3 separate regions of the Mus musculus genome follow, and regions 2 and 3 are each reported to be linked to region 1. The links are microRNA targets in miRTarBase. Many come from high-throughput screens and were not tested one by one. Region 1 holds a microRNA gene; each other region holds the end of a gene's coding sequence.
What was found. The annotated mature microRNA mmu-miR-367-3p reads AAUUGCACUUUAGCAAUGGUGA and lies in region 1 at 1,041-1,062, opposite strand. An mRNA with a match to its seed (bases 2 to 7 or 8) in the 3' UTR can be bound and repressed. Matches are read on the target gene's strand: a 7mer-m8 pairs with bases 2 to 8, a 7mer-A1 pairs with bases 2 to 7 and ends in A, and an 8mer does both.

Region 1 (3,000 bases):
TTCATACCATGATTTATTACAGGAGTTGCTCCCCAAAAATGTTACTCATAGCTGGATTGAGAGAGTATTTGGGAAATGTGGCAATGTGGTTTACATAAGTATTCCACATTACAAGTCTACTGGGGATCCTAAGGGATTTGCCTTTGTGGAATTTGAAACAAAAGAGCAAGCAGCAAAAGCCATTGAGGTACGTACTTCTGTGGGACCCTGAAAAGTAAAGAAAAAGCACAGGGTTAACAAGAGTAACAAATTCTGCAATCAATCTTTTCAGTTTCTGAACAACCCACCAGAAGAAGCACCTAGAAAGCCTGGTATATTTCCCAAGACAGTGAAAAACAAGCCCATCCCTTCCTTACGAGTAGCAGGTGAGTGCTTACTTAGAGTGGCCAAGTAAACAATAAACTATTATGACTGTAAATAATAAAATCTTGTTACAGAAGAGAAGAAAAAGAAGAAAAAGAAAAAAGGCAGAATAAAGAAGGAAGAGAGTGTGCAGGCCAAAGAGTCGGCCGTGGACAGCAGCAGCTCGGGCGTGTGTAAAGCCACGAAGAGACCAAGGACGGCCTCTGAGGGCTCCGAAGCAGAAACCCCGGAAGCTCCAAAGCAACCTGCAAAGAAAAAGAAGAAGCGGGACAAGGTGGAAGCATCCAGCTTACCTGAAGCCAGGGCAGGGAAGAGGGAGAGGTGCAGCGCCGAGGACGAAGACTGCCTCCCCCCAAGGCCAAAAGCTAAGAAAAGGGCTCAGAAGGATGGCGTCGGCCAAGCAGCTTCCGAGGTCTCCAAGGAGAGCAGAGGTACCGTGGCAGTAGGGTTACAAATGTTTTAACCAGTTTAACCACAACAACGGACTTACGGAAATCTTTTTTCTAGACTTAGAATTCTGCTCTACTGAGGAGGAGAAGGAGACAGACAGAAAAGGTGACTCACTCTCAAAGGTGAAGAGGAAGCATAAGAAGAAACACAAGGAGAGACATAAGATGGGCGAGGAGGTTATACCATTGAGAGTGCTGTCCAAGTAAGTGGCCACTGACACAGGTCCATCACCATTGCTAAAGTGCAATTCCAATTTCTATTCAACAGAGTTGCATGTTAGCAACAGTGACGGCCTTGGTCTATCTATATGCAGCACAATGAAGATTAAGTAGGAGCCACCACACTCAAACATGGAAGCACTTATTTTTAAATGCACAGCAAGTGCCTCCATGTTAAAGTAAAGGAGGCCCCTTAAGCAGACTTGAGTGGTCTTTACAAAGGCATGAATATAAAGGAAAACATACCATCACCAAAACATGGAAGCACTTACTTTCTTAGGTCTAAAGCAAGTACAACCACGTTTAAGTGGTGGGAAGCCCAGTCAATAACTCCCTTAACCTACAGCATCTTAGAGAAAATGTTGAACAGTTTAAGACACCCCCACTGAAACATGGAAGCACTTGCTTTTGTTTAACACAGCAGGTAACCCCATGTTAAAGCAGAGGGGACTCCCATCAGACTCTGAATTAAAAGGCTAGCTTTCTTATTCCAGAGTTTCTTGAATTCACTTCTACTAAAACATGGAAGCACTTACTCTTCGATGAGACAGAAAGCATTCCCATGTTAAAGTTGAAGGGAACCCACCCACAAGGCAACTAGTTAAAACAGAAGAGCAAACCCACAGGAAAGTAAAGTGACCCGGTTACAGACATAAGCTTTACCTCCTTTACCTTCGTGACCGCCTCCCAAAGAGTCCTGTTCTGTCCTCGGAGGGTGAAAGACGCCGACTTTAGACCACTTGTATTTATACTACTCCTAACTCCTGAGTTCCTTTTGGCTTTCTATCTCTGAGAATCATTACAAGACCCTTTGTTATTTTAATGTATCAGCTCTGGGGAAAGTAGGTCCTGGGGACCTGGGTAGGTCTGGATTTTTTTTTTTTTTTTCCTTTTTTGAAGTAAACAGATGTCAATGTTAACTGCTAAAACCATTACCACAAGATATCCTCCTCTTTAAAAAAAATCTCCTATCTGCCCGTTTGATGGCACAGATTAGGGTAACAATGAGCGCTCCCACAGAGCCAGGAGATGCATTGTGCTTCTCTGGAGGAGCCCTAGCTGTTTGAAGATACATCTACATGTTAAATGTATGTAAATAAATAAATTGCTTCCATGGGGTGTTTTTTTCTTCTTAGAAATTCCTTTTGATTCAAGTAAATCCTAAGGAATGTTAGCTCTCAAATTGGAAGCAATTTGAGAAATCTTTAAGTTTTAGTCTCTTACTTTTTCTCCAGGTTGCCTGATTTAGTGATTTTACTTAATAGAAGTGACTCAAAAGTGATTTTACAATTAAATATTAGAAGCAACCAGGAAACTCAAGCATTTTCCTTGCCTGTTAAGACAAAGAAACTTCCTTTGTGTGTTTGCTAGGTAGCTTTAACAAATGGCTTAACAAATAATGTAAACATATGCCTTAAAAGAAAGAAAAGTCAGAAAGACTTGCAGTTCCTATGAACATTGTGTTTAGATCAACTTCAGATTTCTAGTTGGGTCGTCTTATCACTGTAATGGCTCAATTTTTGTTTTTCAGGACTGAATGGATGGATTTGAAGAAAGAGTATTTGGCACTGCAAAAAGCTAGCATGGCTTCTCTAAAAAAAACAATATCTCAAATCAAATTGGAATCAGAAATGGAAACAGACTGTAAAGCGCCTAGTAAGTGTGCAGTGGGGAACGGAGAGGGTGACGCTCATGTAATGGAAGAGTGGGCTTTAGTCTATGAATGGTTTCAGGGGCAGTTTTATTGCAGTGATAGAGTGGCTTCCTCAGTTTTAAGCTGAACCATTTCCAAAAACAAAATGTTTTAAGAAAAGTAAAAATGTGAAGTTTTGTATTACACACTAGGTTTTAATAGTCTGTTTATTCTTCTCTACTTACCTGCGAGCTCACTTGTGAGTGCCTGGAGAGAGAAATAAAGACTGCAGGCTTAGTGGATGATGTTCAGCAAGCAGGAGCATATTAGAGCACT
Region 2 (4,892 bases), not on the chromosome of region 1:
CCAGAGCACCGAAGTTCAGGTTTCAGAATCCACACTGGGCAGCTCCCACAGACCTGTAATTCCAGCTCCAGCTCCAGGAGTTATGATGTGCTATTCTGACCTTAGCAACACACACACATACACACACACACACACTACACACGCATACACACAACGCACACGTGATGAAAACTTAAAAAGCAAAAAAAAAAAAAAAAAAAAAAATGTACTCTCAGCCTGACTTTATGGTCCATGTCTTTAATCCCAGGACCGGGGAGACAGATCTCTGTGAATTCAAGGACAGCCTTGACTACATTGAGTTTTAAGATATCTAGAACTCCATAGTAAGGCCCCATGTTGGAAAGAGGAAGGAAGGAAGGAAGGAAGGAAGGAAGGAAGGAAGGAAGGAAGGAAGCCAGGCAGGCAGGCAGGCAGTCTGTCCTTTTACCATGACTTGAGTACTGGGACACAGGATGGCACTATTGCCCAGCCCTGAAGTTCACAAAGGGAAGCACTGGTCCGTAGTGAAAGTGGAGCCTAGACTTAGCGCTCTTCCTTCTTTATCCTCATTCCCTCTCCATCCCTTTCTCCTGAGCACAAAGGTACTGGCTCTCAGGATTTTCTGGAGGTTTCTAAGTAACACGTGGAAACAATCTACAGAGTGTCATGTTCGGCGCACACAGAAGTTGTTGGCCATGTTCTACCTGTGCAGCCAGGCTCACCAATGCTGAGCCATTATACCAGTGGACAGATGAAAAAAAAATGTCCCGGCAATGTAGCATGACCACAGAGATACCAGGGCCTTCGGACAGAGCTGTGCCTTTCTTAGGGTCTCCTAGCAGAACTCCTCTCAACATTCAGGTGACAGGCCAAACATCTTCTCTTGAGACGCCCTGTCTGACATTTCCTCAAGAGGCCCTCTTGGGGATGCCCTGCCTTGTGCCCAGCTTGGATTTTTCTATTGTTTTTTTTTTGCCTCATTCCTGAAACTCTCAATGAAATGGCCTTGTGAGTGTAATTAATTGATGATTTATCGCCAAGCCCCATAGACTCTTGAGATAGTTTTGTCTCCCTGATTGCTGCCCTTGGCCTCATGACAGTGAATGAGTTAATGGACGCTGGGTGGCCAACCTGTGTGCCGGATCTCTCCCCAGCCCCTGCCGGGACCATGCTATGATGTGTCTCTGTCTCCTCCCTTTGCAGTGAGTATGGAGTTCGGAAGGGCTGTATGGCTCCGTTTCCACCCATCGGCTTATCCCCCGTGCCCCCACCCAAGCTTTGTGGCACACTTGGGTGGCGTGGCCGTGGGCATCACCCTGGGCGTGGTGGTTCTCAGAAATTACGAGCAGAGGCTGCAGGACCAGTCGCTGTGGTGGATCTTTGTGACCATGTACACCATCTTCGTGCTGTTTGCTGTCTTCTGGAACATCTTTGCCTACACACTGCTGGACTTGAAGCTGCCACCCGCCCCCTAAGGGACCAGAGGTCCAAGGCAGGGCGGGGAAACAGAAGCATCCCGAGAAAGTACCTGCATCTGCTTCTCATCTCCAATTCAGTGAAAGCAGGGAGAACCGGAGACTGTTGGAGCTGGGGGGTGCGTGTTGCTTTGAAAGGATGGTGGGGAGATGGATGTGGCTGCTGTCATCTTTCTAGGCTGGTCTGATGATATGGAGTCATGGGTAAGGTCTGAGGCAGGGTAAGAGTGGCTGTCCCTGTGGCTTGGGCTTGTCCCATGCATTCCCTCTCACTGCCACAGAGTGAGCAAATAGCCCTCTTCCCTAGTCTCCACCTGGAGAGACACAGAGAAGTTCTGAGGATAGCCACAGCCAGGCTTGCCACGGCCCAGAGGTGACTGTAGGCTAGGCCACATTCTCTTTGCAGCTCAAGGTCTGGTGCTCTGGCAATGGATGTGATGGCTTTGATCCGGGGGAGCCCAGAGCAAGCCAGGCTCCAGTCCTGTCAGTGGTGCTATGGCATTGCTCCTAGGGCTGGGCAGGGAGATGCTATAAGCTCCAGGCCTTTTTCTTGCCCTAGGGGAGGGCCCTGTGCTGAGGTAATGACTTTCTTCATCCCAGGTTCCCCCAAGAGAGTTCCAGGACGGTTTCTTCTTCCTGCCTGTAGTCACGAGTCAGCATTCCAGACCATCGCTCTGCATCCATGCCCTATCTGGACTGTGGGGTCTCTTCTTTCCTTTCTACTGCCCTGACCCTACTTTGTGCCTCTCTCTTTGGGTGTGGAGACAGGGTTTTGTGTGTGTGTGTGTGTGTGTGTGTGTGTGTGTGTGTGTGTGTGCAATGTCAGGCAAGTCAGAAGCTGCAGAGGGAAGAAGTGGGAGACAATGTACACAAGAGGATATCTACAGGGGATTTCTGGAATGGGTAGCAGCAGTGTGCTCTCCAGTGCTCGCTCAGTGGCCTTGCCTTTAGCATCATGCACCCCCTTTCCCATCTTGCCCTCCCAAACACCTGCTGAGCACCACTGACTGGTGGAAAAACTGTCGAGCTAGAGGGAAGACCAAAGCACTACCAGACATTTGAGAGAAAACTCTCAGCTGTATTCTTCTGGTTCTCTTGGGGGTAGCTTTTGTGTCTGTACTGCCGCCTGTAGAAGGAAGTCTTTGGGATGAAAGAAAGCCCAGGACAGTGATACTGTGGCCATCTCTCCATGTGAATTAGTGGGACAAGAAGCTGTAGTAAAATATATTTTGGTGGAAAACGTAGCCTCTGAGAAGAATTGGGGAAGCTTGGGTGAGGGAATGTCCCCAGTGAGAGCAGCTGAGGGTTAGATGGCTCCATCTACAGGGACTTGGAAGTACTCTTACAGGGAAGTGAGATTGGGGGGCGTGGCCTTGTGCTGTCCATACCCCAGCAGCCTGGGATGCCACATCAGGTGTTTGGCAAGGTAACTGTAGACTCAGAGCCCAGTGCCTCTGCTCCTCTGAGACAGTCTACTCAGGCTGGCACGAGACGCTTCTGGGGACCCTAAGTGGAGGCTGTGAGGCAGGTGACCTTTATAGGGACTTTCAGCCCCTGGGATAAGGAACCACAGGTCTGAGATTGGAGGGAGGCAGGAGGATGAGAACTGCTCCTGGTCCTCTCACCATCCCAGCAATACCTCCCAGCTCATCTCCATTCTCCTGAGTCCCTCAGCCCTTCCTCTCTCCAATGTGGCCACCCATCAGGGCTGGGAGTCACTCCTCATGCTGGAGGCTGTAGGTTGGCCTCAAAGGCTGGGGAATCCCCAAACAGCAGCTATGTAGACTAGCTTGCATTTAAAGGGGAGAAGACTCATGGAAACCAGACAAGGGAAAACGGGCTTTCAAAAAAAGAGGAATTTCTCTTTAATGATACCATTCATCACTTGATTTTTTTTTTTTTAATTAGGAGAAGCTCCCTAACCGGGCTCTTTAAATTCTGCATTTCCATGTGAACCATTCTTGCCTAGAGCATTAGTGGAGGCATCGCTCACCGAACCCAGATCTTCCTCTAGTGTCCAATTCAGTTTGCAGATAATGAGGTTTACCCAGTGCTGTGTGCTTCCCAGGGCTGGCTGCAAATCGTTGACTCTCCTCTGCCTTAAAAACAGTGCCCGTCAGTGAGCTGCCCTCCCAGGACTAAGTGAAAATCAAAACACTAGCCGCGACGTTGGTTTCTAGATATTTTTGTATTGTGTACATTCTGTATATTTTTGTTGTAACATATTATTTGAGCACAGATTCCATTAAAGATTTTTTTAAGCTGTTGGTTATTCAGGGAGTGACCTCAAGGGCTGCCATGCTACCTGCTTTGCCTGTGTCTGGTTCATGGTGGGTGGGGAGAGTGAAAACGGGCAGTGGTGGGTGGGTGGCTCTGGCACTGGTGGTTGGCACTGTCTTCCTTAACCTTCTCAGAGTGGTTGGTGAACACTGAAGGTTCTTTCCATGAAAACACACCCACTGGGCTGGAGAGATGGCTCAGCGGTTAAGAGAACCGACTGCTCTTCCTGAGTTCAAATCCCAGCAACCACATGGTGCCTCACAACCATCTGTAATGTGATCTGATGTCCTCTTCTAGTGTGTCTGAAGACAGCTACAATGTACTTACATATAATAAATAAATAAATCTTAAAAAAAAAAAAAAAAGAAAGAAAAGAAAAAAAGAAAACACCCACATAGGTCGCTTCCCGGACAGTTTTCGAGGTGGGTGCCAGCAGATAGAGAGGAGTCTCAGCCCCCTGTCCCCTCAGGCCTATTTTTCCCTTCCATTCATCTAGTTCTAAGTACCTCCCTCCAAGTCGCTCTAGGGATGGACAGTTGGCCACAGAATGAAGAAATGACAAATACGTGGATTCAAGAATGGAAAATCTGGGATTGAGTGGATGTGGATGGAGAAGCCCCAGCCCTGCCCCACGAGCTCAAAGTGTTTATATATACTGTTGGACAGGCAACTCAGGTTGTGGTATCCAGATGAACAGGAAGGCAAGTGTAGCTAACCTCGTAGACACAGTCTCTGTAGGGACGCAGTCTTCAGGCCATAAACATGTGGAGGGGCAAAATTACGGTAGACATTCTCTGCACACTATCTATATTCACACACAGACCAGAGGAAACCTTTCCCATCTCTCCAAGTCTCTTCCAGGGAAGGCATTGCTGCTCCTGTGGGGATGACACACTGGGGTCTTTGACATGGCCTTGTCTTTGTCAACAACACATCTACTCAGGAATATATATATATATATATATATGTATATATATATATATATATATATATATATATACACATACACATATATACATACATGTGTGTATATATATGTGTGCATGTATATATGGTATGTGTATATATCTTAATATACTATACATAATATTATTTATTATGTAAAATATATATTATGTATTATATATACCATACATTTTTAAGATTTATTTTATTTAT
Region 3 (4,892 bases), not on the chromosome of region 1:
AGTAGCAAGTGGCAAGCATGGTTACAGGAGCAGGAAGCCCGATGACTTGCATCTTAAACCACACAGGCCAAGCATAGAGTGACCTGGGAATGGAGGAAGGGCTTGAGTTCCCAAAGTCCGCCTCCAGTGACTCACTTCCTCCACCAAGGCCACGCCTCCCAAACCTCCCTGCGAGCACCACCAATTGAAAAAACCAAAGAAGCGGCCTGTTCAGAGCACTACACTCTGGAGGACCTCCCGCTTCGGAGATCTACAGAGATTTTTTTTTTTCCACACGTGGTCTATTTATGGGCTCCAGGAACCAGGACACAGACATACACAGACCCAGGTTTCTGGAGCCACCTTTCAACCTTCCGTTCGACCCACAGCACCATCTCCTCCTTATTCATCTGCCGATCTCCCGGTCCCTCTTTTCGGTTCATCAGGTCTGAGTCCCTGTAGATAAAGACAAGGTGCCTGGATCCACAAGGTGGAATTCCAATATCAGACACACATCAAGAAGCCGATGACCCTGCTGGCAAACGCTGCCAGCAAGAGTGGGAGCAGCTAGCTCACCCCAGAAAGGCAAGAATTATAAAGCACCTGTGCAGGCGCATATATGAATAAAGCCAGCAAATCTGTAAATGTGTGCCTATGTATGCATTTCCTTTCGTAACATCTGACCTGTACAGCTCCTGATGAGTCTGCCCCCCCAAAAAATACTGAGATAAATCGAAATAATTTACATTTATCTTCCGATTTCTTTAACTTGAAAGGGTTTAACCAAGTTTTAATATCGTTTTCAAGCTGGATATTAAAGAAGAGATTGAAGATGAAGAGAAGACGATTGAAGATTACACGGATGAGAAGATGAGCGATGCGGACCCTGCTTCGGTGGAAGCAATGTACTCTGCTGCTAGCCAGTGTCTGCATGAGAAGAAAAACAGACGGCCAGACATTGCAAAGGTATTCACTTCCGAGTCCATCTACACAGCGAGGGGTGTGGTGCCTTATCCTTTACTAAGTATCCATTTCAAGACATCGGCTTAACCTGGTTCTTTTGATCTCTTTCTTTTTGAAAGGTTCAACAGCTGCTACAAGAGATGTCTGCTTAAAACTAATAAACTTTTTTTTTTTTTTTTTTACTTCTCGAGAACCTGGAGACCGGAAAAGCACTTTGACACTGAGCTGCGTCACCTACCTGTTGTTTGCATTTGTTTTTGTTTTCCTAAATGCGCTTTATGTTTAACATGGTAGCATAGTGCAATGTACCAATGTACTGGTTAGTTAGTTAATAGACGAGTTGGCACCGCAGCCAAAGTGATAGTTGCATGGTAGCACTTGGCCCCGCCCACCTAGTATGGGGCTCATGTTCCACAGCAACATCACCAAACTATAGTGAACTTAAGATTCAGGAAAACAGCACTGTGCTATACAGAGACAATAGGATTATTTGGGGCGGGGGGAGTGAGACACGGTGTCTCTGTGTAGCCCTGGATGTCCTGGAACTTGCTCTGTAGACCAGGCTGGCCTTGAACTCAGCAATCTGCCTGTCTCTGCCTACTGCGTGTTGGGATTAAAGGTGTGTGCCACTCCTGTAAAGCTTTGGACCAGCTCTTAGCTGCCTTAAGCCTTAGTGCTGGCTTTTGGTTTTTGATAGGAACTTCATGCTCCTGTAAATAGCTCCTCACCTAGGTTCCTGTAAGGAACCTCTCTCCACTGCTCCTGTAACCCTAACTAAACTCATTGGTTCAACAATGTAGACATGAGTGGAATCTATTCTTCTGTCTGTTATTGTGGTCCTATTTTGAATGAATAGATGTTTGCTTGTCATCCCTCCCCCCCCACCCCAATTCACATACATGGTACTATACGTGGGGTATAACAGAACCAATAGTGAGTTTGGAGGGTGTGTGTGTGTGTGCTTGTATTGTCTCTGCAATGGGCAATAAAACATGTAACTGAGGCCAAGCTGTCTGAGGGGGGAGCATTTAAGGGGGCAATTCCGACACCACCCTTTCCCTTATGGTAGACATGGTAGGCCCCCTTGCTGTATATTGATTGTACTGCTCCCGCTGAAGTAAAAAGACATATAACTTCCACAGGCCTGCTCCATCTGCATGAGTCTCTGTAAAGAAAGTTCTGGAGAGGCCATTTTCCTCTATCAATGGACAAAGGAATGCCTCTATAATGAATGGAATCAGCCATTCCGTACTACAGTTCTTGAAGGTAGCACATATGAGATGGGGTCATAAGCACCCTGTGGCATCACTAAGACTTGCCACTAGAGCTGAGCTGTCTCTTCAGCCTGCCTGTTTAAGCAGAGAATTACAAGATGCAGATGCTATGTATCCTCTGAACTGGCAGGTAAAATGAAAGAAAGAAAGAAAGAAAGAAAGAAAGAAAGAAAGAAAGAAAGAAAGAAAGAAAGGAAACCAGAGACAAGTTTGGTCACAATGCTTGGGAGGCAGGTCCAGGCAGATCTCTGTGAATTTGAGGCCAGCTAGGGCTACAAAGTATCTCCCTCTCACCCTAGCTCTCTCACTTTCTCGCTCTCTCTCCCTCTCTCAAAAAAAAAGTGGAGTGGCAATGCAGTATGATAAAAATCTCTTACATTAAAGAAAGACTGGGGATTTTGCTGGACCTCACAGCAAGTTAAATATGTACATTGAGGTCACTTAAGACTGATGTCCTACTGTGTGATCAGTCTGTCTGTTTAACCTGCCTTCAAGAGAACAATGTGGTTATCAACCTTACTTGCCTCGGATTCCCAACCAAAGCTAGCGAGCAGCTCTAATCTTTTCTCTGTTCTCCCATGCCCCTGACTCTAGAGTAATGCGTGTGTGCTTTTCGCGTGTTACAATAATCATTTGCTGAAAACAGCAAATATAGGTTAAAAGCAATCTTATACAATGAACATCGGCAGCCACTGAAGTCAACACATGGATATTGCTCAATAAACAGTGATATGTGTAAAGCTGTTTGATATCTGAGTCAGCTGGGATCCATTGGAGTCAGTAACTTAATCCGTTGTAAAACTCTGTTAATGATTTCTGGAAGGTGTTCCTCATCCCTTCCCCCATGTGATGATTTCCACGTTTTTCAGCCTTTGCTAGGTATAGCCACACGGGCACACATAGATATACAGACCTAGGGCAGGATGATAGCATTTAAGCAGACACCGATCCAGACTCATACAACAGGATGATGGAAGAGGCAAGGCAGCAGATAGAGAACTCACCTCTGGGCTCACTGTCGGTTCAAGGACACCAAAGGGAAGTGCTTGTGTTGATTTCTGTCCTTCATGCAATACCAACACGTTATTGACAACTGAGTTTATTATTAGTGCATTCTACTCTACACAAGATGGACACGCTAGCTTGTCATTTCCTATGTCTCGGAGTAGAAGACTTAAAGAAAGTAAAAATTATGTGTATGCTAAAGTCCTCCATGGGATCCCCAATATTGGAACTGACAGGGAGAACTTGACATAGAGGAGGAGGAGGAGGAGGAGGAGGGAGCAATGGAAGATATCCCTCAGGCACAGTCCTTAAACAAACATCCAGGTTGCATGGGGACCTTAAGAATGACCCAGCATGTGGAGAGCCGTGCTGCGAGCAATTGCGTGCTTGCCTGCCAGTAATCGCTGTGGAGAGCCTTGCAAGCCGCGAGCAATCGCCATTATAAGATGGTGCTGGCCTCCGCTGTGCCTAACTAGTAAACAAGCCTTGTACGCAGGTGCGAGAGTGAACTCACTCCTAGTCACTCCCATTTTCGGGGTGTAATAGTGGGGTGATGGGCGAGCAACGAATCAGGAGCTGTCACGCCATATCAGGTGCTGAAACGTCACGCTGCGGGCTATAAAAGCGGCGCCATTTTCCCAGTTCGGGGTCTTCCTGAAGAAGTAAGCAATAAAGCTTTTGCCGCGGAAGATTCCCGTTTGTTGCGTCTTTCTTGCCGGTCGAGTGGGAAGCAATACCAGCATAATAATGCTATATTGTGCCACTAAACTCCATGAAGTGGGAGATACTTTTAAATGAGAAATCAGCCACAGCCTCACTCATGAAACTGTAGGACAGGGATACAAATGGAATCAGCCCGATGTTGTGGAAGCACAGAAACTAATAACCCTCCACCCCTGCTTATGACAAAAGTTATAAACTCTGACACAGTGTGAGGGAAATCAGTCTCTGATTGGTGGCTCACGGGAACTATCACGGATTCGTAGTTTTCTCCAGCTGAGGGTCCCCTGACTACTACGGACTAAGGACAGTAGAGGAAGGATAGACGTTATGGAGACAATCAGGCATGAGAGGGGCAGTGTTGCATGCCTTGTTCATTGCACCAGATAGGACTGGGAGAGTTAAGAAAGGATGACTCAGTGGTTACCTTGGGACTAGTACAGGTTCTGTTGTAACCCCCGAATTACTGATGCAAACTCTCTGCGAATAATCGTCCCGTTTCTTAACAGTCTCACCCAAGAGACTTCAGTGTTGTGTACAGACACTTCGCCTCTGCGTCTTCTCCCACAGACGCTCCTATCTTCCCACAAGCTCAGGGCAAGCACAATTTCAGACAGCTGATTTTTGTGCTGTGTCCTCCTGCAGCAAGCCCAGGGCTCCCTCCCCCACCCTGGCCAGTCAGAGTGAACTCAGCCTAGCATTAGAATGTCACTACCCATAAAACTCCCCCTTAATAGAGACATACCCGAGGAGCCAAATGCTATCTCAAGATATCCTCCCCACCTCTGCATCTCCAAAGACCAGAACTCTTCCTGATAAACAGCCAAACTTAAAGTCCTTGACACCTTAAAGAAATAACAAACTCGAAGGAGATTAGGGCCCTGAGTTTAAATCATAAGAGAAAAGGAAATCAGAGATCACAGACAATTATGACCGGCCATAAAATTATTT

Region 2: miRTarBase lists Rhbdl3 as a target of mmu-miR-367-3p. Seed matches in the 3' UTR shown: 7mer-m8 at 2,269-2,275.
Region 3: the mRNA of Irak4 is a reported target of mmu-miR-367-3p. Seed matches in the 3' UTR shown: 7mer-m8 at 1,241-1,247.

The regions. Positions count from the first base shown.
Region 1 is chr3:127,543,841-127,546,840 of GRCm38, reverse strand. It overlaps Mir367 (microRNA 367), which reads right to left and starts at 1,108; the gene lies at 1,034-1,108. Larp7 (La ribonucleoprotein domain family, member 7) reads left to right here. Exons shown (of 13, transcript NM_138593.2): 5 at 23-187; 6 at 272-365; 7 at 438-794; 8 at 871-1,015; 9 at 2,563-2,687. It overlaps Gm51018 (predicted gene, 51018), which reads right to left and starts at 1,752. Exons shown (of 2, transcript NR_146435.1): 1 at 1,695-1,752; 2 at 1-207. Mir302b (microRNA 302b) reads right to left here and starts at 1,613; the gene lies at 1,540-1,613. It also overlaps Mir302c, Mir302a and Mir302d.
Region 2 is chr11:80,352,230-80,357,121 of GRCm38, forward strand. It overlaps Rhbdl3 (rhomboid like 3), which reads left to right. Exons shown (of 9, transcript NM_139228.3): 9 at 1,183-3,757. The coding sequence ends at 1,454. Among named protein-coding and RNA genes, the nearest start is that of 5730455P16Rik, 23 kb to the right of the region's middle.
Region 3 is chr15:94,565,953-94,570,844 of GRCm38, forward strand. It overlaps Irak4 (interleukin-1 receptor-associated kinase 4), which reads left to right. Exons shown (of 12, transcript NM_029926.5): 11 at 787-945; 12 at 1,062-2,365. The coding sequence ends at 1,094. Among named protein-coding and RNA genes, the nearest start is that of Twf1, 21 kb to the right of the region's middle.